6 separate regions of the Mus musculus genome follow, and all the other regions are reported to be linked to region 6. The links are microRNA targets in miRTarBase. Many come from high-throughput screens and were not tested one by one. Region 6 holds a microRNA gene; each other region holds the end of a gene's coding sequence. Distances are between the middles of the regions.
Evidence for each region. Region 6 holds the annotated microRNA mmu-miR-692 (AUCUCUUUGAGCGCCUCACUC, at 2,307-2,327, opposite strand). A microRNA usually pairs through its seed, bases 2 to 8, with sites in the 3' UTR of a target mRNA and lowers its output. Matches are read on the target gene's strand: a 7mer-m8 pairs with bases 2 to 8, a 7mer-A1 pairs with bases 2 to 7 and ends in A, and an 8mer does both.

Region 1 (5,230 bases), not on the chromosome of region 6:
TGGCTATAATTCAAGTTAATTTAGAGACATTGGAAGGCTGAGGCTTGAAAATTATGATTTCAAAGATGACCTGGGCTACTTTGTGAAACCCTCGAGGGAAAAAAAAATCAAGAGTAATGTTGTAATATTAAGTGTGGGATGTTTATATTTCTAGCACAATCCTGGTACCAAGAATTAATCTTTAATATTTTGTCAAAACAAAAAATAATTTCAGACAAGGAATTTTCTGCCTTAATATATTCCTTTTTTAGTATGTGAAACTATAATCCGAATATTTAACTGTTGATATTAACTTGATTACCAAAGTAGTTTTTCTCTTAACTTGATCAGTGATTTGAAATATTGCCTATGGAAGATTACCCGGACCCCCACCCCCACCCCAGTGGGCCTAGACACTCCTTTTGAATAAGGTCATTCCACTGAGGCCTGCAGGTGTTCATACTAATCAGCATATGCTGAGGACCATCTCTACTCATGCAGAGTCCAAGCTTCTGATGCCCCCTCAATCAGCACCTTCTCTGAGAAATCTCCAGAATTTTCTTTCACTGTGACATCATGAGTCCTAAGACCATTGATCTAACTCAAAAGCTGACGTAGTCTGCTCTCTATCATCAGCTTCCCATTACTTTTACTTATGGGAATATTCAGCCACCACCTATGGATTTTCACATCTAACTACTTTCTCCAATTTTGTCTTTTCAGGTGTTTTTACCGTTCACATTCATAGCGTTGGGCATCACCCTGAGCTTGGTTTTGATCCCGCTTGTCAAGTCTCCAAAGTTGCATTATATCTATGTGTTCCTCTTCCTTCTCAGTGGGCTGGTGTTTTACGTGCCATTGATACACTTTAAAGTGAAGTTCGTTTGGTTTCAGAAGTTGACTTGCTATCTGCAGTTACTGTTTAATATTTGCATCCCTGATGTGTCTGATGACCACATACATGAAGAAAGTTGAGGAAGAATAGCCTTTGTAGCCATACTGTGTTCCAGATAAAGGTTAAGTGTAAGCTAAAATAGTAATGATGGCAATGCTATAAACTGAAATGGTATATAGAAAAGTACCCAGGAAATTCCTAGTTTTTAAAATATCAAAGGAAATGGCTGGGTAGATGACTGTGCTGTTAAGGGCACCAGATGTCCTTCCAGGGGACTGAAGTTCAATTCACAGGCCCCACTTAGAAGTTCATAACTATCTGTAATTCTAGTCACAGAGGATCCAATATCCTCTACTGGATTCTACCAGCACTGCATGCATCTGGAGTAGAGACATACATGTAGGCACCCATGCACATTTACAAGAAGAAAGAAAGAGAGAAAGAAAGAAAGAAAGAAAGAAAGAAAGAAAGAAAGAAAGAAAGGGAGAGGGAGAGAGGAAGGAAGGAAGGAAATAAGGAAAGAAGGAAGGAGGAAAGAAAGACAGTAAAGAAAGTATTTCACATAACTAAACTGTTTTTATTAAAAATAAAATTTCTAGCTTGTATAGCTTCATGTAGTAAGAATATCTTTCTCATTCTTCTGTTTATCTCATCGATTTTCTACTGAATGTATTCTTATAATAAAAGTTACTGATGGAAATTAAAAATTCTCTCAATAGTTTTTCTCTTTTAGTAGCATAAAGAAAACAAAAACAAACAAAAAACCCCCAAAACACAGGGGTAACAAAAGAAAAAACCCTAATCTGTATTTTCCTTGTTGTTTTTTGTTTATTTTGGAGAGAGGCTCTCACTCTACCCAAGCCAGCTTCGGCTCAGTGTACCTCTTGCCCTGCCTCCTTAGCACTGGATTTAGAGACGAGTCTGTTTCAGTTCCTGCCTTAGCTCCCCAATGAGGTGCTTTAACCTGTTACTTAGAATAAATCCCTTTCTTCTTCTAGTTGATTTTGGCCAGTGCTTTATCACAGCAACAGAGAAAACTAGTACAGATTAGTACACATACACATTTACCAACTTTTCACCTTTAACCCAAGCTATGTTAACCAGGAAAAGTGGTCAAGTCAAGTGTTCTTAGGGACTTCGTTAGTTACCTTTCCTGTTGTTATGATAAAATACCCTGACAAATGTAGTTAATAGGAGAAAGGGTTTATTTTGGCTAGTGCCAGAAGGACATAGTTCATTGGTCAGGAAGACAAGGCAGCAGGCAGGAAAGGCATGGTGGCAGGAGGAAGATGCTGGCTGTCACAGTCTGCTGTCCAGGAAGCAGAGTGTGAACAGCAGCCTGGTCATCTGATGCAGCCTCAAAGCTGGTTCCTATCAACCCACAGTATCCAGCAAGACGCTACCTTTTACAGGCTCCACCTGATTCCCAAGCGGTTCTTCCAGCTTGGAACCAGGCTTGCAAACATTTGAGCCTGCGGGGCCGCTTCCCACTCAAACCTCAACCAACGGTGATGAAAGTTAACAACCGTTCCCTTTAAAACCAGCTAAACACTCCTGAGTTGTGTTGGTGTCTTTCTTTTGGACTGGTTCTCACTGTGAACCCTAGGTTGTTCTCAGAACACTGCTGTCTCAGCTTCCCAAGGTTTGAGACTACAGTCATGAACCTAACTATAAATAGGCTTTCTCAAAGTGAAAATTAAATGAAATCATAGACTAAAATATAGTTAGTGACTGACACATGGTAAATGCCAAATATTATGTTAAACTAAAATCCTTATTTTATTTTATTTTATTTTATTTTATTTTATTGAGACAGGGTTTCTCTGTGTAGCTCTGGCTGTCCTGGAACTCACTTTGTAGACCAGGCTGGCCTTAAACTCAGAAATCTGCCTGCTTTTGCCTCCCAAGTGCTGGGATTAAAGGCATTCACCACCACACCCGGCTTATATTATTTTTTAAACAATCATATTTAACATGATTTAGCCTGTGGAGGTTATGCAAATTAGAGACCTTCACAAAGGTAGAAAAGAATGTTCTACAAAATCAAAAAAAAAAAAAAAACCAAAACAGGTGAATAGTAGATGTAGAACAAGCCTTTATCAAATGTCTGGGTCAAGTGAATGGATGAGAGAAGTCACATGTGTCAAGGGTATGGAGTGACGATTTATTATTCTAAATTGCTAGAAGAAACAGGGATAGTGCCCAAATGAATGCCGTGGAAAACTCAGCATCTTAAGATAGCATGGAGAATGCCAGGATATAAACTTTCCACAGAACACTGCATGTGTTCCTGCTGATAAAGGGCTCTGTTGTACCCTGGGAAGTCCCTGGAGCCCCTTGGAAAAAAGTTCTTTGCATTGGATTAATGTTAGGGCTTGTTTCACCTTGTCTGGAATTTTATCTAATAATATTACATATTTAACTAATATCAAGTTTCAATTTATGTAATATGCATTCAGTGCATTGCCATAAACAGAACTCATTAAAACAAACGAAATGTACCAGAACAAGTTGTTCCTCATAAAAGCCAGTGGGTTCTGTAATTCTCTTTCCTTTCTGAGTTCTCAAGGCTCTTACTCAGTCTAAACAGAATTCCACCTAGAATTTCATTGACTGCTGATTCCAATCTTATCACAACAGCTCTGTATTTATAAAGGAAAATGTATCACTGAAAGATAATATTTTCTTTTGCTCACAGGAAACATGCCCAGTGCTTTTCACTGAAAGATTCTGGCTTACATACTTTCTGACGTCACACCTGCCCTCAAAGCCCATCCTCCTTTTGAGGTTTTTAAAGGCTGGATGGCAAGTTCTGCAGATGTTGTACTTTACAAAGCAGAGCCCGACTGCTGTGAGATTATGTCTCCTGGAAATGGCAGGCAAGTTTCACCCATGATAGCTCAGCAACATGGCTCCCTTAACAAGACCTGAGCAAGTACAACAGCAATAGACAAGCCAATTAGAAGAGGGAACTCTCATGGAGTTCAATTCCCTAGATGAAGAACTATAGGCGACTAAGGGGTGCTAAGAACCAGACAAACAGTTTTCCCTAGGAAGACTCCCCTAATTATTATTTAATACGTACTCATCAGCTCTGAAATCATTTCTGTACCAGTAACAATAAAGAGATAGAATAGGTAGTATTTATATGTTCAGGCACACCCATCTGTCTGTCTGTCTGTCTATCATCTACCTACCTGTCTATTTATAAAGAAAGAGCTGCCATGATTTTGAAAAGGATCATGGGAGGCACAGTGGAGGGGCTGAAAGGAAGAAAGATCATACCACTACATTTTATTAAAACAAACAGTAGCTGGAATCACTGACATTTTCGATGCTTGGTCAGCAGAAAGTTACTTCAAATGACATAAAGCAATTACTGTATCTGTAGGAAGCCTCCTAGAAAGAAGTAAATGAGTTCTGTTTAAATGTTTTGAGCTGAAGGCTGAATCTTACAAGTAGGGCTTTGAAGGAGCTAATGGTGTAGATCCTTTTCTTGCTCTTCAGGAAACCTGTTGAAAGACTGTGGGCGCATGACTATGCTGAGAGGGAAGCCGTTCATGGAACACTGCTGTTAAAAAGGCACAGTCATTGAATGTGTCCCAAGGGTTCCCCCCCCCCATCTATCTTTCTCTCTCTCTCTCTCTCTCTCTCTCTCTCTCTCTCTCTCTCTCAAGGCTTTGCTATATTTCCCAGGGTCCTATGGTATAAGAAAGGGTACCCACTCTCTCCACTCAATGTTCAATGTGTTGTTGTTTTTAGTATGCTTTTAAATATTCATGAGATGGATAACTTATTCATAATGGTAAAATGTCCCTCTTTTACTTCTCAAACCACAGTCATCCAAATCTCACTTTTCAAGGAATTTTTTCCCCACATTTTCTTGAAAATTCCACAAGGTGAAATAAAAACCACAAGGTACATGATGTCACAGTGAGGACAGTGAGGACGGATCTTCTGAGGAAGCAGACCCTTCATCTGCATGTGTGGCAATGAAAGAATGTACCTGCCACGTCAAGGATGTTTAACCATAAAGGTGCACTCTGTCCAAGAGACAGCTCCCAAGATAAAGCTGCAGTTTTCCTTGGTACCGTGTAGCTGATACCTTGTCTACCCATTCTCTATATCTGCATCAGAAATAAGCAAACTGATAAATTATGAAATGTAGACAAACTGTCCCAGAAAACAATTATTCATTCCTCTTGTGTCCTGTTCTGACAGCGTCTTCTTCCTGGTCTGAAATTTGATAACTTGTATCTATGCATGCACGCATGCATGCGTGTGTGTGTGTGTGTGTGTGTGTGTGTGTGTGTGTGTGTGAGTGTGTGTGTGTGTGCGTGTGGTGTATAGGTATGT
Region 2 (5,230 bases), not on the chromosome of region 6:
GCACCAAACGTGCGCTGATGTAGGCTCTTTCCCTTAGAAGTTTCCTACCTGTGTCTTTTCAATATATGTGTATGTATTATGCATGTGAGTGTGTCCACATGTATGAGCACACATGTATGTATACATGGACATTCACATGTTTGAGCATGCATGTGGTTAATGCCATGTGTCTTCTTTGATCTCTCTCCACCTAAAATACGGAGAAATGATGTCTCAGTAACCCCGAGCTCACTGCTCTGAATACTTTGACAGCTGTGGGGATTCCCTGTCCCAACTCCCGTGTGGGGATTTCAGATGGGCGTCACATAGACCCAGCACTTACGTGAGTTCTAGGTGTCTGAATTCTGTCTCTCACACTTTGCCCATCGCTGTGCCTCGGCCTCTTGTATTTTTTTTTTTTATAGTCTTAATATTCTCTCCTGTTTTCTAGGCAATGAATGGCTACTTCAAGAACAGACCCCATCTGGAGACATAGAGAATATTTCCAATCAGCCGGCGATTTCCCTGCAGATTCCTACCCATTGCTTGTCACTGGAAGCTGTGGTGTCTGTCGTCGTGTTTCTTTATTACTGCAGTGCAGACAGCAGCGCATGTATGATGAAGGGAGTCGTGTTCAGGCAGCCTTTGCAGATAACCAGCACCCAGCCAGCTTGTGCAGCTCCTGTAGAGCTCGCATACGCATTCTAGAAGGCTGGCCAGCAGCCCTCAGCACAGGCCCTGTCCATCCTGCCATTCGTCGCTTAGGGAAAAAGCATTATAGTAACCCATTGCTCAGTTGTAACAACTGATACCAAAATAAAGCTGTGCTCCTTATTAGTATTTTAATTCTAAACAAATTTCTTCATTTTAGCTGTGTGCTAGCCAAGTCATTGACCATCATTTTACCACGGCACTGTAAGCTTTGCTGTTATTTGTTTTAAAAGCAACAGTCCATGCTATATCAGAGAGTATTATATTTGTAGTCAAAACTAATCATGCCAGATAGTTTAAATAACCTGCCTTTATCAGTAGTGGTTATCCATTCGTGTGTAAATTTCCAGTAACTTGAGATGGGCCTAAGCTGTGCGCCTTTGTGTCAGGATACCTGCTGTTTAGTGTCTAAGGTCTGCTTAAAGCCAGAACAGAAAGTATTCACTCGGCACAAACTCAGCGTGTATGAGTAGTTACTTACCTCCGGTGATTTTTCTCACTTGAGGTATTTTTAAAAGAGAGTTTTAATCTATTTTTATTATAAATTATTTGTTTTAACATTCTATTATTAATGCCTTATAACTTTATATAAAAAAGAAAAATATAGAATTTCTAAAGGCATGCAGACCTACCTTTAACTGTATTTAATGAGCATAATTCCTAGCAGGCAATGCCTGGCTCCCAGAGGCATGCTGACCTGGGTGTGGGTGGAGACTGCTGTGTTGCTGTGTGTGATGGGTTATTGTAGTGGCTAGGCTGGCTGTCATGAGCATCATGCTATTTTGGAAATTTAGATGTCAGTTTTAAGAGTTAAGTAACAGAATTGTTGGGTTTGAGATTTTTGTTACTGTTTTGGTTCCCATATTTAGAATTTAAATTATGATCATTAATTCTGATATTTTGAAAAATCACATGTAAACCTTCAATTTGCTATTTTCAGGGTATAGTTATACTAATACACTTTCATTTAAAATATTAGGGCTGAAACACACAGTGATTTACTGATACTGTTTTGGTATGTGTTTTCTTTAACCCCGTAAGAAACAGCACTGGAAGGGATCCTGGAGAGGTTTGGTTTTCATTGTTAACTTGAATTATCATAGATTATCATCATAACTGTTTAAGAGCCTTGCTCTTCTAAAACTGAGTGGACATGTGTTTTACTAAGACTACAAGGTTTCAGAAGCATTGTCTGAGCCCCACCTATAAATTTAATAAGCATTTAAGCATAGTCTACCTATTTATTAGTTAATTTTTGCAGTAGTTTTTGATAGGTAACATTTGCTTGTTTTATTGTTCAGTTAACTAAAAAAAAAAAAAAATCTGAAGTGAAAACTTGCTGACTTCCGTTATTAACTTAGAAATGCTGTTTCTCAGGAGCAAGGCGAACGTGAAAGGGAGGGGTCCTGTTTAGAGTTGCCCGTGGTTACCTCAGAAACCTTTGCACCTAGAACCAGCCAAGGCAGCGGCTCTGCAGCTCCAGCCTGGAGCTGGTGGTCTGTGGAGGGCCTCAGAGCGCCGCAGCCCTCGTTGATTTGTTGGATTCCTCGTTTATTTCCAGTTGGACGGGATGAGAATATTTTGGTTCAGTCATTTCCTGTTTGAGGACATAAACAGTTTCACTCTCTAAAACAGGGTATATACAGTTTAGCTTGTGTGGAAATTATTTTTCACTCTGAAAATACAAGCATGTATTCTGTAGTTTGATGTACCTTAAAAATCCCAAAATATTCTTTAACTCCCTTGATTTTCCCTTTGCCTGGGTAGGATCTTACTTGAGTCTTCAGTGACTGCGGGGATCTCGGTGGCTGCACACCCCACCCACCTGCCTCTCTGCACTGCTGGTCACAGCAGAATGTTAGTGGGGATGGACGGAGAAGGTGCTCAGTGAGCAGAGTGCGCTTTCCTAGGGTCAGGACTGACACAGTGTCTGCCAGGAGGAAACCTTGGTCACAGCACTTCTGGAGCTGCAGCGTCTCCTGTCCTCTCTGAGAGCCTTGTAGTTGTCCTGAGACAACTCTGTCTGCCTTGGGGCTCACACCACTGAGATAGGTTATGTGGGCCTCTGTTTTGCAGTGTGGGAAATCTAGGACTTAATGAACATGTGTAACCATGGTTTCTCCACATACGCGGAACTGACTGTCTTTCTCCATCCAGGGAAAAGTCTTCAGCTTCTGCCTTTGCCTCTGGCTTGGCAAAGATCAGAGTTGTTAACTCATTTGGAAGATGGTTCTTTGCCGTGCGCAGAGGCCCTGGGTTCAGTCCTCAGGAGGAAAATGAAATCACGAAAAGCTATGTTTTGTAGTGAACAGTAACATAAAGCCACGTGCAGGGGCCGTGTCACCTAAGCTCTAAATGAGCAAGCCCGTGCTGTCTCACTGAAATTCTACCTCTGAGAATACTCAATGGCCAGTACTTTAGAGAGTAATCTAATCTTCTCAAAGATACTAAAATAATCTGAATTGTAAGCACTAATAATTTTTCTAAAGCCACTTCTGTTACCAAAGATGGGGGTCTATTTAGAGTCCTTTCATTTACCAGTTTCCTTTAAAATTGTAGTTGGTGAGGACAGGGATAATTACGGTGTTTTATTGTTTAGCATGGTATAGTGGCAGGAGTATAGACTCTAGCAGTGTCTTGCCCTGCAGAGCTGGGCTGCTGGACCAAGCCTGGGCTTGCCGCCAGGCTTCAGTAAAATGCTCCCACGGCATTTAGCAGGGAGTAATTTATGAACTGCTACTTATCAGTTTAGTTCTAATAATGACAATAATTTATGGCCACAGACATGGGCTTGACTTTTTTTTTTTTTTACAACTCCAGTTTCTAAAGCAAAATCTTTCTCCACCATTTGACATGTTAGCAGTCCCAGTAGAATCTGGGCTCGAGAAGAAAAAGAACACTTTATGGTAGAATGTATTACCATTTCATAAACAATATTGTTTATAAAGAAGCACCTCTCTACTGTATTGAAGTATTTAAAAAGGCCTTCTGGAGCTTTAATGAATACGGCTTTTCCATAGAGGATCCAGACATAGCTGGAGACACACCACACTCTTAACAGCTTGTACAAGAATCTTCAGATTATAACCTGCGTGCCCTGGTGGGTGCTCTCACCCTGGGGCGGTGCCCTCTGCAGTCTTCAAAGTACTTGAGAATAACGTTACAGACTAGGTGTGAATGTTCCAGAGAAGGAAGCTGCTTCGGCATGTTGGGTACGAAGCTCCTGGGGTAGCGTCCAGTGCCTAGAACAGGACCTAGTATGTGGGTGCTGGCTGACAGCAGCAGAGCTTAACCGAGGCTCCCTACAGTGTGGAAAGTGGGGACCTACCCCCCGGCCTTCAGACGAGGGCAGAAGGAGGCTTACCTTCATTGAGTTCTCGCTCCCTGCTGGGAGTTTCCCTTCTGTGTGCTGACCACACGCAATCCTCACAACAGCCTTAGGATAGAGTCCCTCCTCCTTGAACAGTCACATCAGCACTAAGAGTGTACACAGAGGAAGTGGACAGCTGTCTGCCCCACTGCCTACTCTGTCGTCTCCCAAACTTGCAAGGTCACATATTTCATTCCTTCATGTAGTAACTTATCAGTCCAGAGGATTCCAGGAGCCCTGGGAATGCGTGTTTGTAAAATTCATTTAAATTCATTAAAGTCATTCAACTTACATGACTTCTCATAGATTCTTATCATCTGGGCCTTGGAATGGTCTATATAATCATTGGTTCCCAGAGGATTTTCTGTGCCCTTAATTTCAGTGACTATCCACAGTTTTTTCTTGGCAGGAGTATGTGTAGACATCCCAGTTAGCTCAACAGGACTGTCCCAGCAGCCAGTCCACCATAACGAGCATGGCTGGTGCAGGCCTGGAGACGTCTACCCATATCGGACACAGTGTGTTTTGTGAACCAAGTGAGGTGTAGAGGAATAAAGTCCTCTGCCTTCCTGCAGCCTTAATGGTCTGCTGTGCAGGCTCCCTGGTGACTCAGGAGTTGTTCCTGAAATCAGCGTGGCAGTGTGAGACAAGATGTCCTGCGTGTGCCAGTGGTGGTTTTTAGGGGCATCCCAGTGCAGCGTCTGTCCATTGTGAAGTAGTGTGGTCGTGAAGCAGTACTATGGTTCAGTGAGCAGCGCACTACATGGGTCAGAAATGACAGTGTGACAGAGTCACATACCTTGAGGCAGACCTGCGTGATAATCACCAAGATTGCTTTTTCCACCCGTGTTTCAAAGCCGACATGAAGAATGAGCCCTCGCCTGAGTCACTGTTTTAACCTGGCTTAATAGAATTTCCTTTTTCCAGTTTCTTTGCGTTAGGGTAATAGACAGAATGGTCGTTAAAGTTAGAGGCTTGGTAATCAAGCGAGGTGGCATTCTGTGGCTAATCAGCCTTGTCTCCTGCCTGTGCCGGCTTGTGTAGGCTGGCGCCTTGGCTCTCGGGTGGCCGCTATGAGCACACAGGCTGGCCCAGAATAGGACACAGCCCTGCCTGCAGGCTCTGCTAGGATAGCTTTCGCCATGGCGTGGTGCTTTGGTTTAATCATTG
Region 3 (5,230 bases), not on the chromosome of region 6:
TGTCAAATTCAATTGCTCTCCACCTTATCTTTTGAGAGAGGCTCTCTTGTTGAACCTGGAGCTTGCTAACTTGACTCAGTTGACTGGCCTGGAAGCTCCCAGGACTCTCTTGTCTCTACTCCAGCTTCTACCCCAATATACTACCATGCCTACTTTTTAAGTAGGTGCTGGGGATCCAAATGCAAGCTCCCACACTTGCATGGCAAGCTCTTTACCCACTGAGCCATCTTCCCTGACTGGGTTGCCTTCCTGTGGTGGTGATTTTTATTTATGCAGAGTTTACCTGGGTTTACCATTAATTTCCACATGTATGTACTGTATTCCCCTCTACTGAGAGCCAGGCTGGAGAAGGACATAGGGTTCAGGAAGGATCTGAAAGGATTTCTTTGGCTTCACCATCCTTCCTAATTGTCGCCAATACTAGGTGCCCATTCTTGAGCAGCCACAACAATGGAGGTGCTCCCCAAGGCCCTGGAGGTAGACGAGAGGTCTCCAGAGTCCAAGGACCTGCTGCCCAGCCAGACAGCCAGCTCCCTGTGCATCAGTTCCAGAAGTGAGTCTGTCTGGACCACCACACCCAAAAGCAACTGGGAAATCTACCACAAGCCCATCATCATCATGTCAGTGGGAGCTGCCATTCTGCTCTTTGGCGTGGCCATCACCTGTGTGGCCTACATCTTGGAAGAGAAGCATAAAGTTGTGCAAGTGCTCAGGATGATAGGGCCTGCCTTCCTGTCCCTGGGACTCATGATGCTGGTGTGTGGGCTGGTGTGGGTCCCCATAATCAAAAAGAAGCAGAAGCAAAGGCAGAAGTCCAACTTCTTCCAAAGCCTCAAGTTCTTCCTCCTGAACCGCTGATGACTGGTTGTCCAGAAGATCTGCTAACCAATAAGCAGCCTCCTACCTTCTCTTCGGGTACCACAAAGTTGATCCAGGCAAACCCTCCTCTTGGCCCTGTGGACAGGATAGAGCTCAGGGCTTCACCCTCATACAACCTAGCAGCATTGCTGACTGAGTCTCACCTGGTTTCCATAGCTGTGGATGCTGTGCCCTTGGATACTTTCATTACCCTCATCCCTGGCACCTGCATTCAGCCATCAGCCATCCCATTCTCTCTGCCAAGGGCAATGTGTGCATGCTAGGAAATTCTTTGGGGGTTGACTACATTCCCAAGGAGAACTTGTATGTTACGGTTGTGTGCCTGATCTTAGATTCCCATCTACATCCTTCTGGAACCAAAAGTGACCAAGCAGATAAGGCTGACTTCAGTCCCATTGGGTTTGACAGCCTTGGCTCCCTCCTTGGATGGGACATTGACTAACATTACAAGAGAAAGGATATGTCTCATGTATCACACATTCCAAAATCTGGACAGTGATGGGGCTGGGGGTGAGGGAAACACTGTCTAGAGTAAACCATTCCTCTGGGAGTAGTCTGGAACTTATACAGTGAAGGAAGTTAGCTCCTAAATATATGATATTGGCACAAGAGGCAATATGCAGGCTAAGAGGTATCAACACTTCCCCTTGATCCTCCAATGCGCTTCTTGCAGAATGCCTTTATATTAGCAATTAGCCAAGAACAAATGCTCTTTGTTCTAACTTCCTTCCCCACCACATCTCTGCGTCTACACAGCTCCAGAACAGAAGGACGGGAGGCCACAGATGTGACCTGTAAGATCATCTCCTTCTCCTGTCAATCAAGACCTAACCTGAAATTGAATGCCATGTCCGACTCACGCTGCATGGGGTTTTAGAGATAGGTTCACTGGAAAAAAGGAAATCTCAGCCTCCCTCCTCCCTGTTCCTCCCTACCAAACAAGCAAGTATTTATTGAGTTTCCTTCTCTAGGCCTAGGTTGGGAACAGCCAGACCCAGTCTCTGATGTCATCTTATTTCCAAAAGTGAAAGAGGGAAAAACATGGCCAAGCCAACTGGCAATACTCCATACTGAGTTCTTAGGGTGGCCATGGGAACACATGGATCTAACAAATGTACAGGAAGATAGATTTCTGGAGACCATGTTCACCCCTTCTGAATATGAAGGGGAAGGAAGTGTTTGGAATGAGCAAGATGTGCAAGGTAGTCAGCAACTGCCTTGCATGTGGAGAAGCTAAGGGGAAAGAGACAGGGTGGGGTTAGGATTCCGCATAGCTCCCGGATGCTATTCCATCCTCTCTTGCCTACTTCCCCCCTGCTTCCCCAGGTACCTTACATCCAGCTACTCCTTGGTACACTGCAGGCTTCTGGGGTCAATAGGGACTGGGAGGGGCATCTCCAGAGGGCCTAACAAGTAGATATAACCCAAGAGGTAAGTACCCTCAAAACTTCATTATAGTCACCAAGACACCTTTAGGCAAAAGACCGGGCACCTATAAGAAATTTCCAAAGCTGTTCCAGGCAAGGCCAGGCCAGAGAGCAGAGGAAGGTACCTAGTAGCAAAGTGAATGACAAGAGCTGCATTGGTTCAGGTTGACTCTTCATCCTTAACCTTTGGGCATTTGGGAACACTATGGCAAACAACCTCCAACAGGTCTCCAGATATCTCAACCATTCACAGTACTTCTATAGGCAGTTAGAATCCACCACCTTTGTTCCTGTTGCATTGTGGGACATTCCTCGGAGGAAGTATTTGTTTTGTGGAATCAACACACACACACACACACACACACAGAGAGAGAGAGAGAGAGAGAGAGAGAGAGAGAGAGAGAGAGAAAGAAAGAGAAAGAAAGAAAGAAAGAGAAAGAGACTGACTCCCTAACTAAAAAGTCAGAGTTTGGGAAGCCTGTGGCCTTTCAAAGCTCACTTAAGAATATCATGTTCCTCATTAAGACTCACATCATCGAGCCCAGGCCCTGCAGTCCACCCATTCCCTGAATACAGGCAGCTCAGGACCAACCCTGGGGTTGTTGAAATACTGCCTAGTGCTTCCACGAATGTCTAATGCCTCCATGACAGGGCTTTCAGACCACTCCTTTCTCCTGACATGGAAGGACAGCCCTGGGGTGGAGCCTCTCAATCTTCTGTGCCTTCATGAAAGGGAACACACAGATGAGCTCACAGCCAGCTCACTTGGAATCCGCACCCCATGCACCTCATTGTCCTGAGAGCTCATTGTCTGGGCACAGCTGTGGGAAGACCTTTGCAGATCTCACTTTCAAGTATGTCTCAACAGAAGGGAGTTTGGGGATAATCACGATGCCAGGAAATCTTCAAGTTCTAGACATCTTTCATAGCCACATCAGTACCTGTTCCCCAACCCCTGCCCCTCAAGGTAAGTACTTAGCAAACAAAATCAAAGAGCCTTTGAGAAAATATCCCAAATACTGGTTAACTCCCCCGGCCTTGCACCAAACTCCCCACAAAAGTGATAGTCAGGAAGTGAGCAGAGTCACACCCAACATCTTGGAAAATTTTGCCAAAGACCATTGCCTCATGAAAACTGGGGTGGGGATAACCTGTGAGTGCAGCCGGGTTGGATGCCGTGTCTCTGCAACAAAGCATTCTGGGTAGTGATTTCAGTCATCTCAGAAGACAAGAGCAACATCCACAGCACCATCCCACCGGACTGTATTACGGGCTTCTGTCGCTCTTCTGTTTTGGAGAATTTAATCTAACCCAACGCCTAATGGAATCAATGTCGTATTGAACTGTATTCTGTTTAAAAGTACCTGCCATGTTCATTCATTCTTCTCTACCAGGCATTCCAAGGCTGCCTTCACCCCTGCCCACTTCTAAATTACACCCTCATTGCTACATTTCCTTTCTCAAGAGGGCTGCCAGGGAGAATAAAAACAGAGCCAGTTTCATGCATGGCTCCTCAGAAGCATCCTTGCGACTACTCTGAGACGATGGTGGTGCAGAGGGATCCCACAAGTCCAATACAGAGACCCAGAACTTAACCTGAAGAAAGAACATTCCAGAATGAATCTGTGGTCTGGATGAAGCAAGCAGAGACTAGGTTCAGGAGAGATGCTCCAAATGCAAATCAAAGTAGGAAAGGATCCATTTGGAGCTTACTCTCCTCTCCCTCCCTAGAAGCCTATCTGTGCTCAGCCTTCGTGAGGACAGCTGTCCATGCCTGAGACTTCATTCTGACAGTCCCAGGCAGCCTCAGAGACTCTGCTGGCCCAAGCCAGAACTTTCACTCTGTAACCAAGCTCCTTAGGTCTGCAGGAAGGACTTCTGTCTGAGAAGGACTATGCTCTGTTTTCCTACAACCTGCAGGTACAAATGAGAGGAACCCCAGGCCACCTCATAATCTAGGTCTTATACTCTAAGGGGAAGACAGGTTCACTAAAGGGTACCCCCAAATGAGACCATCTCCCACTGCCCTGCAGGTTCCTCTGGAAAAGCCACTAAAGTGACTGTAAAGAGGGGGGAGGGGAGTCATTGTCAATGTCCTTCAATCAGTCAGTCACACATACTAAGCTGGAATTGTCTTCAATAAATGACAAAACACCAGTGGGTTCAGAAGTGTGTTTTTCCTGGGCTGCATTGGGAACCGTTTGCAGCCTCAGCTGCACCAGTGACCTCTCAGGCTCTGACCCCTCCTTTGTTTTGTTCCCTTCTTCACACATCTCTAGCTAACATTTCCATTACCCAAGCCCACAGCCAAACCTGGATGCATAATGAAAGCTCTGACCTCAAAAAAAGATCAGGATAATCCCCAGAGAAGAAAGACAAGGGAATCCTCAGGTATAACACAATATAATCATGGGAGAGTGGGGGGAGGGGTGCTCGGATAATGGTTGCCAAGCCAGCCTCTGGAATACAGATACACCAGGTTTTCACATCAAACTTAATGGGAGAAGGACCAGGCAAGAGAAAAGAGGGCTGCTCACAGGCTAGTAGGAGAAGTTAATGTCCACCTTGACCTCTGGTCCTGCTCTATTTTGCAGTCTTTCTCTGAAACCCATCCCTCTCAGCCTTCAAATTCCGACATAGGTGCATGTTTGGAACATATGCTCCGGGTTGGGGGATCAAGGGCTCCCCACACTTCTGCCTGTCTACACTGTTCAGAAATCCAACCTTCAACACACCAGCATTATGGTTTTGCCCTTTTCTGGAACTTTCCCTTCACCAGTCCCCATCTTTTCTTTACTTTTCTCTAGGCCTGGAGAGAGAGAGAGAGAGAGAGAGAGAGAGAGAGAGAGAGAGAGAGAGAGAGAGAGAGAGAGAGAGCTCAGTGGTTAAAAATACTGGCTGCTCTTCAAAAAGACCCCAGTTCA
Region 4 (5,230 bases), 31 Mb from region 6:
TGCATGCCTGTAGCCACTACTGCTGCGTGATTCCCTGCCTTCCTGGGGAGACTCGGAGACTGGAGGCCAAGCATGCCATTCTTGTACCCACTCAGGGGTCCCGGACATGGCAAGCGGCCTGTTTTCTGAAGCCTGTGCCGTAAGTGTGGTTCCTAGCCCAGCTGTAGCACAGGTCCTCGGAGATTGCCCAACACAGGACTCCAGCTGCATCTAGACTTACTGAGTGCCTGTGAGTCAAGAAGACTTACAGGTGATTCCTCGACAAAGCTCAATGCAGGCAGCCCCTTGCTGCGCTTTCCCCCTAGAGCCGCCTTCTCACATCACTGGGTCGAGAACAGGAGACCCATCCATCAGCTTCGCACATGTAAGCAGCAGTTCTCTGTTTCCCTAGCACCTTCTGATGAAAACAGGTCATGTGAGATAATGCTTGCTCTTTTGGGCAAATACCAAGTCCTCAAGAACCAGGTGCATATATACAGTTGTCTGTCTGTCTGTGGAAGTCCAGGGTCATTCCCAACTCAAATCTGGGGATGTTCAAGTCCCTAGTATAAAATGGTTACATTATTTACCTGTGATTTTTGGACATTGTCTAAGTTAGGGTTTTACTGCTATGAACAGACACCACGACCAAAGCAAGTCTTATTAAGGACAACGTTTAATTGGGTCTGGCTTACTAGTTCAGAGGTTCAGTCCATTATCATCAAGGTGGGGGCATGGCAGCATCTAGACAGGCATGGTGCAGGAGGAGCTGAGAGTTTTACATCTTCATCTGAAGGCTGCTAGGAGAAGATTGGCTTCCAGGCAGCTAGGGTGAGTGTTTTAAGTCCATGACCACAGTGACACACCTACTCCAACAAGGCCACACCTCCTCATAGTGCCACCCCCTGGGCCAAGCACATTCAAAACATCACAGACATCCTATCCTCTCTTATGCTTGATGCAATCTATTTGTGGGGTCAGTAGGCACCATACCGTATGATAAGAGAAGTATGCATTCAGTACAGATGGGATCTCCCCCATATTTTTTATCCAAAAGTGGTTGAATCTTCAGATATAGAGGGTCCACAGTTTTCAAAAGGCAAAGAAATATACAGCTTTTGTTCGGATATAGAGGTACCCCAAAGACCACCCCCCAATGCTATAAAGCTATCTAATATCTGTACTGCCAAGACCCCTCAGTGACTTACCTAAAGGCTAATTTATATTCACTCTCCCCAGACTGTCAGGGACAGAGGGTTGGGAGAGTTTTGAAATGTCAAAAATGGCTGAAGATATAAATGTTCTAGAAAGTTCATCTATGTGCGGCAATGCTGCCACCCCCCATCCCCACCCTGAGTACCGTCAGAAACATGAGCTTTCTGGTCTCCCCAGAATCTGGTGACCACCCTCCCTCCCTCTTTGACAATCCTTCCCCAGCCCAACTATATTTGGTGGTCCCTGCTGCCAGGCGAGAAAACAACACAGGAGTCAAAGCTGTTTTTTTTTTTTTTAAACTTTTTTTTTTTGGTTTGTTTTTAAAGAAACTGCATACATCATCAGAGAGAAACAATAATTTAAATACCATGCAGTTTCTGTATATACAAAACCTAGGCCACAGAGATCCAGTTTCATTTATAGTCTATGTACAGTATCTTCTTCATACGGCCGTCATCTGTTAAGTTAGAACCCGGGAGGGCGCGGGAGCGACGGTCACCACAATCACTCCTATACAAAGACGAACTATGTACAGACACCAGGAAGCAATTGGAGAAAGCAACCTACTTAGAGACTCATGGGAGGAAGAAGTCACCAAAGGTGACACCTGCCCACTGGCCGTGCGCAGGGAGAACCTGGGATCCCATTCATCGGAGTGACACATCACGATGCTCATTCCAAAAGTACGCATACATGTTCATAAGCAGGAGAAAAAGAAACTAGGAGTATCTCCTCACACTGACCCTGGAGTCGTTTGGTTTCTCTACGGGCAGAAAGGCTCCCGTTCTAAAAACCTGGCAGGGCCTTGAAGGGGTCTGGGGAATGAAGTGATCAGGATTTTGGAAGAGCCAGTTTATTTATGGCAGGCTCTTCTGTCGGGGAAGCGGACAGGGATGGGGGTGGGGGTCCAGCAGTGCCTGATTTTGAGAGAAAAAAAAAAAACGTAAGATCTGACACATTTAGTTTTCTCCTTTCTTGCTAACCCGAACTCCATGGTACTCAGATGGGACTGTCTAGGCTCAAGATGAACTCACTTGAAAACTGCAGCTTTTCCAGAAAGGGATGTCTCAAGCCAACTCCCTTGCCTTCTATTTCCCCCTAATTAATGTCAAATTGTCAACTTTGGAAACTACTCAAGTCACTTCAGTTGTCCTCACAAAGTGGGGGAAGTGTGTAGTTACAGCTCCCTGAAGCCTGAGCCCAGGTTTTCAGGAGAGCAGAAGTCCCATCCTACAGCTGGGGAGGCTGCTGAGCCTGGCTAAGAACCACTTATCGTGGCCTTGAGATAGCCCAGCCCCAAAGGTGGTAACCTTTTAGGAGCATGAGAGGCACACCCCTAACTCTGAGCAAGTGACTTCTGCAAAAGGGTACCCCGAAGGAAGCCATGTGGGCATCCTGTCCAGTTTCTTCCATATGTAAAGAGGTGGGCCATCTCAGGGCAAGCTGGCAGGGAACAAGGAAGGCTGCTGGCTGGCAGCAGAGACGGAGGTGAGTTTGGGATTTCTGTTCCCAGGCAATCAGAAGGGCCCTAGAACCAAGGCCGGTGGGGAAGCCATGGGCTTTTGTGGGAGGAGTTCTTTAGGACTCTTCCTGGTTGGGGAAGGCCTGTCAGGCCAGGCCACCTCAGCAGCCTGCAGCACAGCTGCTAATTAGAGGAAGTTCAGACCTCAGGCCTGCAGGGCAGGGACCTCCACCTAGAACATGTGCCTATCCTTCACCCTAGGGAAGGTCAAGGAAAGATTTCTGCATCTTTCCTCCTACCATGTACACATTCAAAAGTCAGTAAGCCTTTTGGGAAGACCATATTTACAGCCATGTTAAAATCCCCACCACATTTCCCCTGAATACCTCTCTTGACATTCAAATAATGATGATGATGATGACAGCGATGACAGAAAGACCCAGTCATGGTGTTGTCTTTGGTCTGGACAGAGGTGTGCCCCATCCAGACGGTACCAGGATAGCAGCAGCTGCATGGCGCTACCTGTAGGGCTAATCTAAGCTTTCCTGTAACTCTGGTTCCTGGGTTAGCAACTGGTCACGGAGCCATTAACGCTCCGGAGAATTGAATGGCCTTGTTTCGGCTGTATCCTAAAAGTACCATGGTCCCAACCAGTTTGACAAGGGGATAACTCCTTTGTGGTTGGTCAGGCTAGCCAGCTGGCATCTTTCTAAATGCCAGGTGTGTTACTTAGTGACACCGTAGTGACTCCGAAAGCTGGGCACACCACGGGGGTTGCGGCAGAAACCTTGCACCCAAGGGTCTGTGAGCTTGGTTAGGGAGAAAAACAGCCCTGTAGAAGACCGCCTTAGGATCTAGGGTGCCCTTCCCTCAGTACACACTCAACCTTTAGGGGGCCCTGTCAACAGGGTGCCTGGAGGCATATTCTGAGAGAGAGAGAGAGAGAGAGAGAGAGAGAGCAGGGTCTCTCTGGGTAAGTGGGGCAGTAAGGGACACTACAGGTAGTCATGGCTAGCAAAGTTTGACCCAGTGCTAGCCCTGCTGAGATGTGCATCTCTCTGCAGAAACTCTTCAGTTGCAAAGACAGAAGAGTGGAAGGCTCTGGAATGACAGTGGGATATTGGTCCCCTGCACTGGCCTCCATACACTGGTACTCAGAAGCTATCAACTACCAAGCCACATCACCACTGGCCCAGGTGTGCTACAGGGTCAAAGAAAACTGTGGCCCATGGGGTTGATGGCTCCCTGGTCAGTTCACACTCATGAATATCACAGGGAACCTTGGCAAGGGCATTAAAGCATTAGATCACCCATTGCCCTGGGCTTTGTGAACACAAACTGGTCAATGAATGTGAACTGAGCAGATGTCTACTATCCCTACCAGAGTCTTCTGGAAGGCAGTTCAGTTTGGGATGGGGGTCAAAGTGGACGCTCAGGTTTAGCCTCCTATGCCCACAGCACACATGGGTATGACTGAAGTGCCAACACAGGCTCCTCCAGGACAAATCTGAAGAGAAAGCATGTGTGTTTGTGTGTGCACATGTTCGTGCGTGGGTGTGCCTGTGTATGTGTGGAGGAGACTGAGAGGTCGTCACCCCCTTCCCAAGGGCCCCCAAAGCAGATGCCCCATCTGGAGCCCATGTGTCTGACCACGTCTAGAAGGACAGTTGGATTATGACTGTCACCCTAGCCATTCCCATGTCAAGCCCTGGGCTTCTTTGGACTCAGGCAACAGTCCCTTGTGAGGAAGGGGTTCACCGAAGACTGAACCAATGTGGTGCTTGCTGGGTCTGGATGGAGGGGACAAGGCGGTTTCTGGACAATCCTCAGGTAGGTCCCTGTCTCGGGGGGCCGGGTCACCTTTCTGTAGCAGAAGTGGTGCCAGCAATGCTGAGGAGTGCTCACCATGGTGTTCCTGCACACAGAATCCTGGCTGTGTTTCCTTTCCTTTCTTCTTCCTTTTTCCTTTCTTTCTTTCTTTCTTTCTTTCTTTCTTTCTTTCTTTCTTTCTTTCTTTCTCTCTTTCTTTCTCTCTTTTTTAAAAAAAGGCAGTTCGGATTTACATGGTAACGGGGAAGTGGACAGACGCCAGCACTTATGGTTCTTAGAAATTTATGTTTTGAAGACAGCAGAGCACTCAAGAGTAATCCCACTGTTAAGGTCGATGAAACCTGGGGAACAAGAAACGTTGTCAAGGCTCAGGGGATGTCAGAGGCCCAGACCCCACAACAGTGTTTTCCCATTCTCAGATACCCGGGCTGTGACAGTGATGCCGGTGTGACTTCCCACCCATGACACAAACACAGAGGGGTACCCCAAGTTCTCAAACTCCACAGAACTCATCTAGAGACCTAAGAGGGTTTAGTTTGGAGTCTTTGGAGGTCCAACCTGGGTGGCTGCACTGGGACTCCTGAATGGCAGCAAGATGGAGCTCCTAACCGTGTGTCTGAGTCGGACATCGATTACCCCTATTTCTGCACATGTTCTCCAAAGGAGTGATTAGAAAAGCCAGAGGCTTAGTCTCTAACTCGTCATGTACACATGCCATGTAGCTGTTTCCTTCTGTGGCTCATT
Region 5 (5,230 bases), not on the chromosome of region 6:
TGCTTCTTGGTCATGATGTTTTATCCAGGAATAGAAACCCTAAGACTCACACCTAAATCATTTTTTTTCCCCTAAATCCATGCTTGCTGTTAGAACTGTCATCATCCCCCTATACATTCCTCCCAAATAATGGTGACACTGATGTTCCAACACTCATTTTACTTAAACAGCTAGAACCAGATCTGGAGCAGTGTGAAGGGGCAGGTGGATAGGAAAGGCTGACTGGGAAAAGGAAGTGGGCATGGGGAGGGGAAGACAGGATATGGGTTGGGTTGAGGGTCCTGGAATCCAGAAGAAGCCAGGGAAGGCAGTTTGAAATCAGTGGTAGATCTGAAATTCTGCCAACAGTATACAGATGTTAAAGATGGCCACATATCTGTCAGCATATGACTGGAAGCATTCACTTGCCAGGCTGGGTCAGTGTGGAAAGCCAAGGTCCCTATGGGAGGGGATACCAGGCTGTCTGAGGCCTGCATTAGTGGGTTTTGAGCCCCGGGTTCCTGAGAGCCGACAGGATGAGGAGGAGCTGGGCTGCATAGTAGGTGCTCATGGTCACTAGGCGGGCAAAAGGTAAAGAGTAGACAAAAGTGTCCCAGGCCAGCACACCATCTGAGAATGTAAAGAGCACAGCACCCCAGCTAGCACTTCCACCCCAGACAAGGCTGCGCCACAGCATGGAGTTCAAGATCAGCCCATAGGCCATCACGGGCAAGACCATGCCCTGCTCAAGGTGTAGCAGGAGGAAGCTGTAGTATGTCAGAGAGGCCAAGGTGGTGCACAGCAGCAATCCGGGCTGCAGTGGGGTCAGGCCAAAAGCCCCGAGGTAGAATAAGTGGGCAACAGAGAAGGCTGCCGTGCCTGAAGAAGAGAGGGATGAGAACTCAGTGAGGTAGGGTGGGCACCAATTGGCCTCCTGCTTCTCCCTGTTGTCTTGGCCACAACCAGACATGAACAGTGCCCCCAAAGCACCAGCTCCATCGTGATCTGCTGATTATAGCACTCCTTCTTGATGGGTCTCCAAATTCTTCTTATCCTTGGGTGTTCAATCAGTTCCCAAAGCAATGGTGATAACCTTAAGATGCATGGCATCATGTGCTTGCTCTGCTCAAGTACCTGTCTTTCCAAATCGTGTTCTGGGAAGCCCCATACCCTTGTTTTCCCCATCCTACTCTAGCCAAACTGGCCCATTTGGACAAAGTAACTCATACACTATTACCCCAGGTCCTTTCCACATGCACTTTCCATGCCCAGGATGGCCACACTTCCCATCTACACAGCTACATATCCTTATTCCTGTAATCCTAGCCCTTGAGAAAACTAAGGCAGGAGGATCCAACATTTGAGGCCATTCAGACCAGCCCTCATATATAGACATCTCAAAAATGACTCCTTACCTCCCCCACCCACCTCAGTCATGCTACACCTTAATTTTCTCCACACCACCCCTTCCAACCAGGTAATCCCACATCTTCCAACCAGTCTGACTCCAAGCCCCTGGCTGAACTGTGAGCTATGCTGTCACCCATCACTGCCTTCTGGCACCTCTGGATAACCCAGAGGACCTAGGGAGGGAGGGCTCCATATAATGAAAAGCTGTGTCCCAGTACTGACTCAACTCCACAAGAACCCTAGGTGTGTTGTCATAGAAGCCCCTGCTCACCATAAAAGAAAGCTTCAGGCCAGATGAGGCAGGCATCTCCCACAGCAGAACATACAAGAGCTCCCTGCAGGAGCCAGGTGCTGCTCCCACCAGGGGCCACAGCCCACAGGAACACAACCAGGCAGAGAATGGGCTGGCACTTGATCAGGGCACTGACCCAAGATGGCTGGTCCACAGGAATCCAGAGGAGGAAGTAAAGGGAGCAGGCAAGGATGAAGGGGGCCAGCCACCTGCGGACCTGTGGGTACTTCAAGAGAGCGAAGCTTCTCAGCCTCCCTCCCATTCGCAGCCAGTCCTGGGGGAGGGGTCACTGCAAGGCACTGTAGGAAATGTCTAATTCCAGTACTTAGCAGGTGGAAACGGGAGGCTGTTGATTTCAAAACCTGTCTAGGATACCCAGTGAGAACCTATTTTAACGGCCATCCCCCACACCACCCTCATGCCAGGACCCAAGCATGTCCAGGTTGGACTTTCGGGACTAGGATCTTTAGCCACCTTGAGAACCTTTTCATTCCTATCTCCTGCAAGGACAAAACCACGATACCTTAGAACCCAGCCTCCTGGAAGGACAGGGCATCCCCACCAACTCACCAAGCATAGAGAATCACAGGCCCCAGTACTGCCCATGTTCCCAGACCTGCCCATCCCCACCTTACAGGTTCTCACTTGGTCTGAAAAGAGTGTCTCCAGGGGCAGCCCCTCTTTTCTAGCATCCATGCTGAGTTGCTTCTCTTTAGGAGCCAGTGGCTTCAGAGGGCAGAGGGAAGTCTTGTGGTTACACATTAACCCAAGTGTCCTGTGGACTCTGGGGCTGATAACAGGGCTCACGCAAGGCCTGCTCTTGTCTGGCACTTGCTGATAAGGTACCCATCAGGCACCAAGGGCCACCCCCCAGCACTTAGAAACCTGGCCACCACCTCCAAAAGTGAGCCCCCTCCCCCAAAGTGGAACTCCCATTGTCTCACACCCAGCCAATTATAAGGAACAATGCAAAGTTCCACAGAGGGGTAGCCCTACAACCAACCCTGGAAAACAGGGGTCCTGCCACAAACACTGGTTAAATAAATCCTGCATTGTGCCTGAAGTCATTCAAACATTCCCTGGAAGGAAGGACGACCACACCACTGTACACTCATGTTCTGCAGCCTTCCCATGAACAAGATAGGGACCTACTGGATGCCAAGAAACTACTAGGTTCCTCAACCATCCCCCTTAGGGATGCTTCATTGTATGTCCATTCTCAAGGGAGCTTCCTGTCTCCTAATCTCTCCCACACCTTTGGTTTTTTGTTTTTGGTTTTTTAGATTTATTTATTTATTATATGTAAGTACACTGTCGCTGTCCTCAGACACTCCAGAAGAGGGAGTCAGATCTCGTTACGAATGGTTGTGAGCCACCATGTGGTTGCTGGGATTTGAACTCCTGACCTTTGGAAGAGCAGTCGGGTGCTCTTACCCACTGAGCCATCTCACCAGCCCCCACACCTTTGTTTTTGAGACAGGGTTTCTCTGCCCAGCCCTGGCTGTCCTGGAACTCAGTTTGTAGACATGGCTGGGCTTGAACTCACACAGATCCACCTGCCTCTGCCTCTGCCACCACCACATGCCTGGTGCCTCCTATCCCCGTAATGGCAGGACGCTCAGCTCCAAAGTCCAGGGACCTCTTGCTCCTTTTAGCAGGCCTGTTAGAGGATAGAGCTGAGTCAGCACAGCCCTAACTGATCTGCATTTTGGAACAGGGCCACGGAGGTACACATATCAGGATGAGAGCGCCCCAGAGTGCTAACTCCTGATGTTCTGCCTGATGTCTAAGTATTCCCCATCCCCTACACCCACACACACTCTCACAAGTGTGGTCCTAAGAGAATGTAGCTCTCTAGGCTATGAAGAGCAAGTTCACCCAACTCTGAGTCCCAGAACTCACAGTCCCACAGCAGGAATGTTCTGCTATCTTCCTTTATTTATATCTGCAGTATGAAACACAAGCTCTGCACACATACTTGCACACTCACACCAGCCTTGGGGGGGGCAGGGGGAGCTGGGACAAGGCCACTTGGCAGCAGTGCTGGAACCCTCAGGGCATGGGGTACCCAGCAACCCCCATTCTGGGCCTCTAGGGATGTTCCCCAGGGCCAGGGGCCGGATGACACCCTCTGTTACACCCCAAGGTGGTCCTGAGTGAAGCTGGGTAAGAGCATCTGCACCAGAGCACAGGCCAGCGGCCTCCAACCCCAGCGCCAGCCCCTACTGGGACAGACGGGGAAGGTGTGCTTCAGAGCTGCTGGCCCAGTTATTGTCCTGGCTTTCTTTCTTACTCCTCCCTCAACATATATATGTATATGTATATATATATATATATATATATATATATATATATATATATATATATATATATATATATATATAATATATAATATACTTCTCTCTCTCTCTCGCTCTCTCTCTCTCTTTCCTTTCTATGTGACTCTCTATCTTTATTCTTGGAGACAAAACTCCATAGTTTCTCTTCTCAGTGCAAATGGGGGTGGGTGAGGGCATCTCCCTGGCACCAGCCTCCTTGGGAGTCCAGAGGAGAGAATGTAGGGTGTGGGACAATAGAGTAGAGGGCCACCAAAGGACTCATCCTGCCCCACAGAGGGATTCCACAGGGAGGACAGAGGATTTGGCCACCACTGTCACCAGGCAGCTACCTGGAAACAGAGAGAAACACATGTGTCACATGGACCATGGACATGGGTCCAGTGACCTCATCTTGCTGACCCACCCAAGGCTATTGCCACACTCACTGGGAACCCGATGAAATAGGCCCTCCTGGGGTAGAGCCATTGGGCATCTCAAGGGCACTGTTAGGGGAGAAAAGGAAACATGGAGGTTACTTCTTGCCCTATTAGCCCTGCTTCATCCACCCAACACCACCCAGAGAGACTAACTCACCTCTGGCTTTGGGGAAGCCCCAAATGTTCTGGGCTCCTTTTCCCCTCCATGGTCTGAGGAGACTGGTGGGCCTTGAAGTCTGGGACAGAGGTAGAGGGGTCTCTGGTTGCACTGTAAGAGAGATCAATTTGAATACTGTTAGATATTCCATATCACTGCCTGCCTGAGGCCACGGCTGGGTAACAAAGAAATCTCAGAACAAAAAAGCCTATGAGCATACTGATGGCAGAGCATAGTGGGGCTGCAGAGCCACAGGGGGAAACCAGAACTTATACCCAGCTCCTCTCAGTGGTCATCCCCCTGCAGGATACGCTTCTGGGGCTATGCACAGTCCTGCTTCTCGTGGTCCCTGATCCTCTTGGAAGCTGTTCTTAACTCTGGGATCACAAGAGCCCTTTTAGGTGCCATTGTCCAAAACATTTAATTACAAAAAGGAATGGATACAAGGACACAGGAGCTCAAGGTAGAGCTTAGTGCTAAGGACAGTAGGGACAAGAGCCCAGCACCCACCTCGGCAAGGAGGCTGGGCTTCCCCTACCCCCCTCCAGGAGATGGGACATCAATGGTCACCTGTCCAAGGAGCTGGGGGCAGAGCGCATCCCATGCAGTGTGGCCTGGACATCCGCAACACTAACCA
Region 6 (5,230 bases):
CCACATTGATTACATTCATAAGGTTTCTCTCCAGTATGTGTTCTTTTATGTCTTTGGAGTTTACCGGGTCTTGCAAAAGCTTTACCACATTGATTACATTCATGTTTCTCTTCAGTATGGGTTCTTTTATGATATTGGAGACAACTGGGTCTTGCAAAGGCTTAACCACACTGATTACATTCATAGGGTTTCCCTCCACTATGACTTCTTACATGCCTGCAACGATAATTGGCACACGTGAAAGCCTTACTGTATTAATTACTCTGATCAATCATTCCATCAATATGAATTACTTTTACAGTTTGGTCTAATAATAAAGAAGAATCATATCTTAAGTTTTTATCATTTTGTATATTCACAGTGTTCTCACTCATTATGGGTTGTTTGCCTCTTTGAAAATACTGTACCCAGAAGATGTTCCAACATGTAATAAGGACACATGCTCCACTATGTTCATAGCAGCCTTATTTATAATAGCCAGAAGCTGGAAAGAAACCAGATGTCCCTCAACAGAGGTATGGATACAAAAAATGTGGTACATTTACACAATGGAGTACTACTCAGCTATTAAAAACAATGAATTTATGAAATTCTTAGACAAATGAATGGATCTGGAGGATATCATCTTGAGTGAGGAAACCCAATCACAAAAGAACACACATGATATGTACCCACTGGTGAGTGGATATTAGCCCAGAAGCTCAGAATCCTTCTTAGGACGGGGAACAAAATACCCATGGAAGGAGTTACAGAGACAAAGTTCAGAACAGAGCCTGAAGGAACAACCATCCAGAGACTGCCCTACTTGGGGATCCACTCCATAAACAACCACCAAACCCAGTCACTAGGCAGATGCCAAAAACAGCCTGCTGACAGGAGCCTGATATAGCTGTCTCCTGAGGGGTTCTGCCAGTGCCTGGCAAATACAGAAGTGGGTGCTCACAATCATCTACTGGACAGAGCACAAGGTCCCCAATGAAAGAGCTAGAGAAAGTACACAAGGAGCTGAAGGGGTCTGAAGCCCCAATATGAACCAGTACCCCCAGAGCTCCTTGGAACTAAACCACCAATCAAAGAAAACACATGGCGGAACTTGTGGCTCTAGCTGCATATGTAGCATAGGATGGCCTAGTCGGTCATTAATGGGAGGAGAGACTCTAGGTCCTGTGAAGGTTCTATGCCCAGTATAGCAGAATGCCAGGACCAGGAATGGGAGTGGGTGGGTTGGGGAGTAGGGGGAGGGAGGAGGTGATAGGGAATTTTTTGGGGGGGAACTAGAAAAGGGGATAACATTTGAAATGTAAGTAAAGAAAATATCTAACAAAGAAAAAATGAAAGAAAATGCTGTGATGGTAAGAGTATTATTACATGACTCACATTTATAACATCCTTTTTCTATATGAGATTTCTATATGATGTATTTCATATATCTGAAGAAAAATGAAACAACTGAGAGCTTTAAAACATTGATTTTACTCATAATTTTTCCTGTAGTGTGAATCACACCACATTTGCACTGTGAACCAGGACAAACAGAAGAATTTCCAAATTTCCATTAGCCATAGGGATTTTCTGCAGTATGACTTTGGTATGTTTTCACTAAAGTCAGAAAACCAATTAATTTGCAAACTTCTATCATATTCAGATAGTCTACCAAAGGCAGAAAACTATATAACTTCTAATTGTTCTGAAACAGAAAGATGTTCTTTGCTTCTTTCAACATCCCTATGCTCACAAGGCTTTTACCCATTGTGACACTTGATATACCCATTAGAAGAAGAATAACAAATGAAAGGTTTCCACATTGCATTCACAAAATTTGAATTTTTGTTCCTTTTAGATATGTGGATTAAGGTTTTTCCACAACAACAATCTTGACTCTCATAAACTGACCTCTCAATAAATTTAGCAATGAGTCTGCAAGAATATGAGTATTACCAACTTTACCATGGACTATTTGTTTATTAAAAGGTTTTGGATATATACTTATCACTATTCAATGTGCAACTTCTAAATATCATGAGACTATACAGATTGGTAGTTCCACAGCATAGCTCTAATGGAGCTACAAATAAATAAAGTTATCTCTTTTTTTTTTTTTTTTTTTTTTTTTGTTTTTTTGTTTTTTTTGCTGTCTCAAAAAGCTTTATTTTTACTTGGTCCAAGACTTGACAGAGGCTCCAGGGCGGTTACAAAGCTGCCTAGTGGCTTGAGAGGTTCATTCAGGTGGAGGTCCCAGGGCGGGCTGGTGCAGAGCAGAGGGGGGAGCCCCTTGGAAGGCACAGAGGCCTCCTAGTCGTGCTTGAGAGTGAGGCGCTCAAAGAGATACTCGCCCAGAGATCCCTGGGGCGCGCCAGTCTGCGCTGGTTGTGGCCCTGCCACCCTGCGGAGGTTGGTCAGATGGTTGCCCATCTTCTTGATGAGTTTCACCTCCTTATCCAGATAGTGGCTTTCCAGGAAGTCACAGAGATGAGGGTCCGCGCGGGCAGAACCCAGGGCATGCAGATCCAAGAGGGCCTGATTCAGGTTCTTCTCCATGGCCAAGGCAGCTTCCATGGCCTCCTGGGTTTTACCCCATTCATCTTGAGATGGCTTCTGCACATCCTGGAAGAGTGCACGGCCCCCGCGATCGTTCTGAAACTCGAGGAGACGCTCCGCGCCCTCGCGCTTCTCCTCGGCCAATTCGCGGAAGAAGTGGCCTACGCCCTCCAGAGCCACGTCATCCCGATCAAAAAAGAAGCCCAGAGAGAGGTAGGTGTAGGAGGCCCGCAGGTGCAAGTTGACCAGGCGGTTCACGGCAGCTTCCACCTCGGTGGAATAATTCTGACGAATCTGAGAGGTCATGGCTGATCCGGAGTAGGAGCTAACCGCGAAGAGACGGTGCAGACTGGTCCTAGGAGCCGAAGGCAGCGAGGAGATGGTCCCGGAGGCTGCGACTGGAGAGACTTGTAAAGGCGGCTGGAAGCGAGTACAGTGGGAATCCCCGGGTCTGTTCCGTTCAAACACTGTTGAAGCAAGACACAGATCCACGGGACCTCCAAGGCGCTGCTCCTAAAGTTATCTCTTAAGGTATTGATTGTTACCTTGCCCTCTTTCCTAGAGGAACGCCTTGTAAACACAAATCAGGTAAATGACATTGAGGTACATGGATCTGTGAGAATATTCTAATCATAGCCACACTTAAAAGGACTGATACGTTACATTCTTGCTTATCTTTAGAGCTTCCAGAATATATTAAAATTTCCTCAGAGGCATATTTGTATCAGCTTGCACATGAGAATTACCTTCCATGTCTTCTAGAACTTTGACAATGTTCTTCAATATGATGGTCTTCCCAATTGTAGCCTAAAACACAATACCAGAAAATGAGTGACATGGTTTTGGAAATTAGGCAAAATTCAAGCTACTGTGAATTTTCCCAGTATTGAACCTCATTTTTCATCTCAATTTTCCTTGTTCTCTACTGAAATAACAAAATATCATTAATAACCAAGAAACATTTATTTCCTTATTTAGGAAAGGAAAAGAGAATTCACAGTCTTACTTATAGTAGTGAGCTTCCAGTAGGTCTCCAGCATCACATCTTTGTAGAGACTTCTGGGAAGGATCCAGCAAATCGCACTCTTCCTCAGTGAAGTTCACACGCACATCATCACAAGTCACTGCATCCTAAAATATCCCATACATGTGTACAATACAAAGCATGATACTGACATCACTGAAAAGTAAATGGATGCTTCCCTGACAATATATTGATATAATTCTGGTGCTTCCTCCACTTATTTCCCGACACAGAAGCTGTAATCTAATCACCATGTCATTTTAGAAGGAATTTGAATGATAAGGTTCACCTGTGTTGCTTCTGAACCCTTTGAATAGGATATAGCCTTGCAAGAGAAATGCCAAGTAAGAGAGAGAGATGCAGGGGCAAACAGATCAGTAGTACTGATCACACATCTGAGAAATTGTATGAACAACTACTAACTACGTAAGTGATAGACAAACTGGGTGTTTTTGCTCATGTCATTAATCCCAGAGACACAGGCAGGTGTATGTCATGGAGCTGGATGCTAGCATGGTCTATGCAACATGTTCCAGGACAGCAAAAGTTACATATTAAGATTCTCACTTCCCTGAAAATATCAACCATGGAAACATACAAACAAACAAACAAAACCTCACAGTTTTTTACTGAAGTTCCTACAAAGAATAATACATTCACTGCAGTTCTGTATTTATCTTGCAGAAATATGAAGTACACCAGTTTAAACTGCAACATTAATAAAATTTTACTAACAGGGAATGCATGTTTAAACAGTTACAAATGGACAGATGAAAATACTAGTAATATAAATGTTGATCATAAATAAGCAACATAGGACAGGAGAGATAGCTCAGCAGTGGAAAGCTCTTGCTGGTCTTCCACATAATGGTGGTCAATTTCTAGCATATACATGGGACCAAAAACTACCCATTACTTCAAGATCAGGAGTTATGAAGCCATGTTCTGACAACAGTAAAGATGAGTCACACATGATATTCATATCCATACACACAGGCAAAATACTCCTATTTATTCAAAAATTTCAGAACAAACACAAGAGGTAGGCAGAACGTCATACACCTGCAATCCAATGACTCTAAAGGCTCGGGTAGTATTGATGTCACGAACCTATGCCATCGTGAGAAATAGAATATAACCTATAAATTTGGACAAATTTCAAAATTAAAGATGTGGATGAAGAACTGCACAAAAGCATATGCTTATTGTACAAACACATATAAGGTGGCTTATGTGGTTTCTACAAGTACTATCAGGACAGGACAGGCTTCACAGAGAAATTTTGTCTTGAAAAGCAAAAACAAAAAGAATAAAATTAAAAATATAAACCACCAGGCTTCAAAAATAGGTTAACATTGAATAACGAATGCTACTACAGTATCTTATGTGTTTTGGGGACAGAGTCCACATGCTGAATGTATGGGAGCAGGAGAAGAAAGCAGAAGGATCAGTTTCAACCACGACACAGTAGACACAAAGAATAAAATTTGTCCTGTCTAAAAGAAATGCAGGGGCAAAGCTGGAGTAGAGATGGAGTGGATGGCCAAGAAAAACTCACCCAATTAGAGACCTATCCCAAGGGCAAGCGCCATTCCATGACATTATTAAGGATACTCTGCTATATAATTGTCCATTGAGAGGCTCCACCCAGCAGCTGACTGACTCAGA

Region 1: miRTarBase lists Slc7a13 as a target of mmu-miR-692. Seed matches in the 3' UTR shown: 7mer-m8 at 1,306-1,312.
Region 2: the mRNA of Nhlrc2 is a reported target of mmu-miR-692. Seed matches in the 3' UTR shown: 7mer-m8 at 1,205-1,211.
Region 3: the mRNA of Pirt is a reported target of mmu-miR-692. Seed matches in the 3' UTR shown: 7mer-A1 at 1,328-1,334, 7mer-m8 at 2,121-2,127, 8mer at 2,718-2,725, 8mer at 2,736-2,743 and 7mer-m8 at 2,742-2,748.
Region 4: the mRNA of Phactr1 is a reported target of mmu-miR-692. Seed matches in the 3' UTR shown: 7mer-m8 at 4,687-4,693 and 7mer-m8 at 4,675-4,681.
Region 5: miRTarBase lists Ppp6r1 as a target of mmu-miR-692. Seed matches in the 3' UTR shown: 7mer-A1 at 4,161-4,167 and 7mer-m8 at 4,104-4,110.

What each region holds. Positions count from the first base shown.
Region 1 is chr4:19,840,638-19,845,867 of GRCm38, forward strand. Slc7a13 (solute carrier family 7, (cationic amino acid transporter, y+ system) member 13) reads left to right here. Exons shown (of 4, transcript NM_028746.3): 4 at 703-1,576. The coding sequence ends at 954. Among named protein-coding and RNA genes, the nearest start is that of Slc7a13, 25 kb to the left of the region's middle.
Region 2 is chr19:56,596,826-56,602,055 of GRCm38, forward strand. Nhlrc2 (NHL repeat containing 2) reads left to right here. Exons shown (of 11, transcript NM_025811.3): 11 at 431-2,021. The coding sequence ends at 687. Among named protein-coding and RNA genes, the nearest start is that of Nhlrc2, 51 kb to the left of the region's middle.
Region 3 is chr11:66,925,415-66,930,644 of GRCm38, forward strand. Pirt (phosphoinositide-interacting regulator of transient receptor potential channels) reads left to right here. Exons shown (of 2, transcript NM_178656.3): 2 at 425-3,286. The coding sequence starts at 451. The coding sequence ends at 858. All of the region lies in intron 3 of Gm12298 (predicted gene 12298), which reads right to left. Among named protein-coding and RNA genes, the nearest start is that of Pirt, 16 kb to the left of the region's middle.
Region 4 is chr13:43,134,771-43,140,000 of GRCm38, reverse strand. Phactr1 (phosphatase and actin regulator 1) reads right to left here. Exons shown (of 14, transcript NM_001302635.1): 14 at 1,475-4,827. The coding sequence ends at 4,812. Among named protein-coding and RNA genes, the nearest start is that of Gm15813, 15 kb to the right of the region's middle.
Region 5 is chr7:4,627,896-4,633,125 of GRCm38, forward strand. Ppp6r1 (protein phosphatase 6, regulatory subunit 1) reads right to left here. Exons shown (of 24, transcript NM_172894.2): 21 at 5,164-5,230; 22 at 4,594-4,704; 23 at 4,446-4,502; 24 at 3,600-4,349. The coding sequence ends at 4,346. Tmem86b (transmembrane protein 86B) reads right to left here and starts at 2,587. Exons shown (of 3, transcript NM_023440.3): 1 at 2,327-2,587; 2 at 1,661-1,907; 3 at 145-858. The coding sequence starts at 2,377. The coding sequence ends at 476.
Region 6 is chr13:74,404,218-74,409,447 of GRCm38, reverse strand. It overlaps Mir692-3 (microRNA 692-3), which reads right to left and starts at 2,383; the gene lies at 2,275-2,383. It overlaps Gm41004 (a long non-coding RNA gene), which reads left to right. Exons shown (of 4, transcript XR_873675.2): 4 at 362-462. It also overlaps the pseudogene Ftl1-ps1.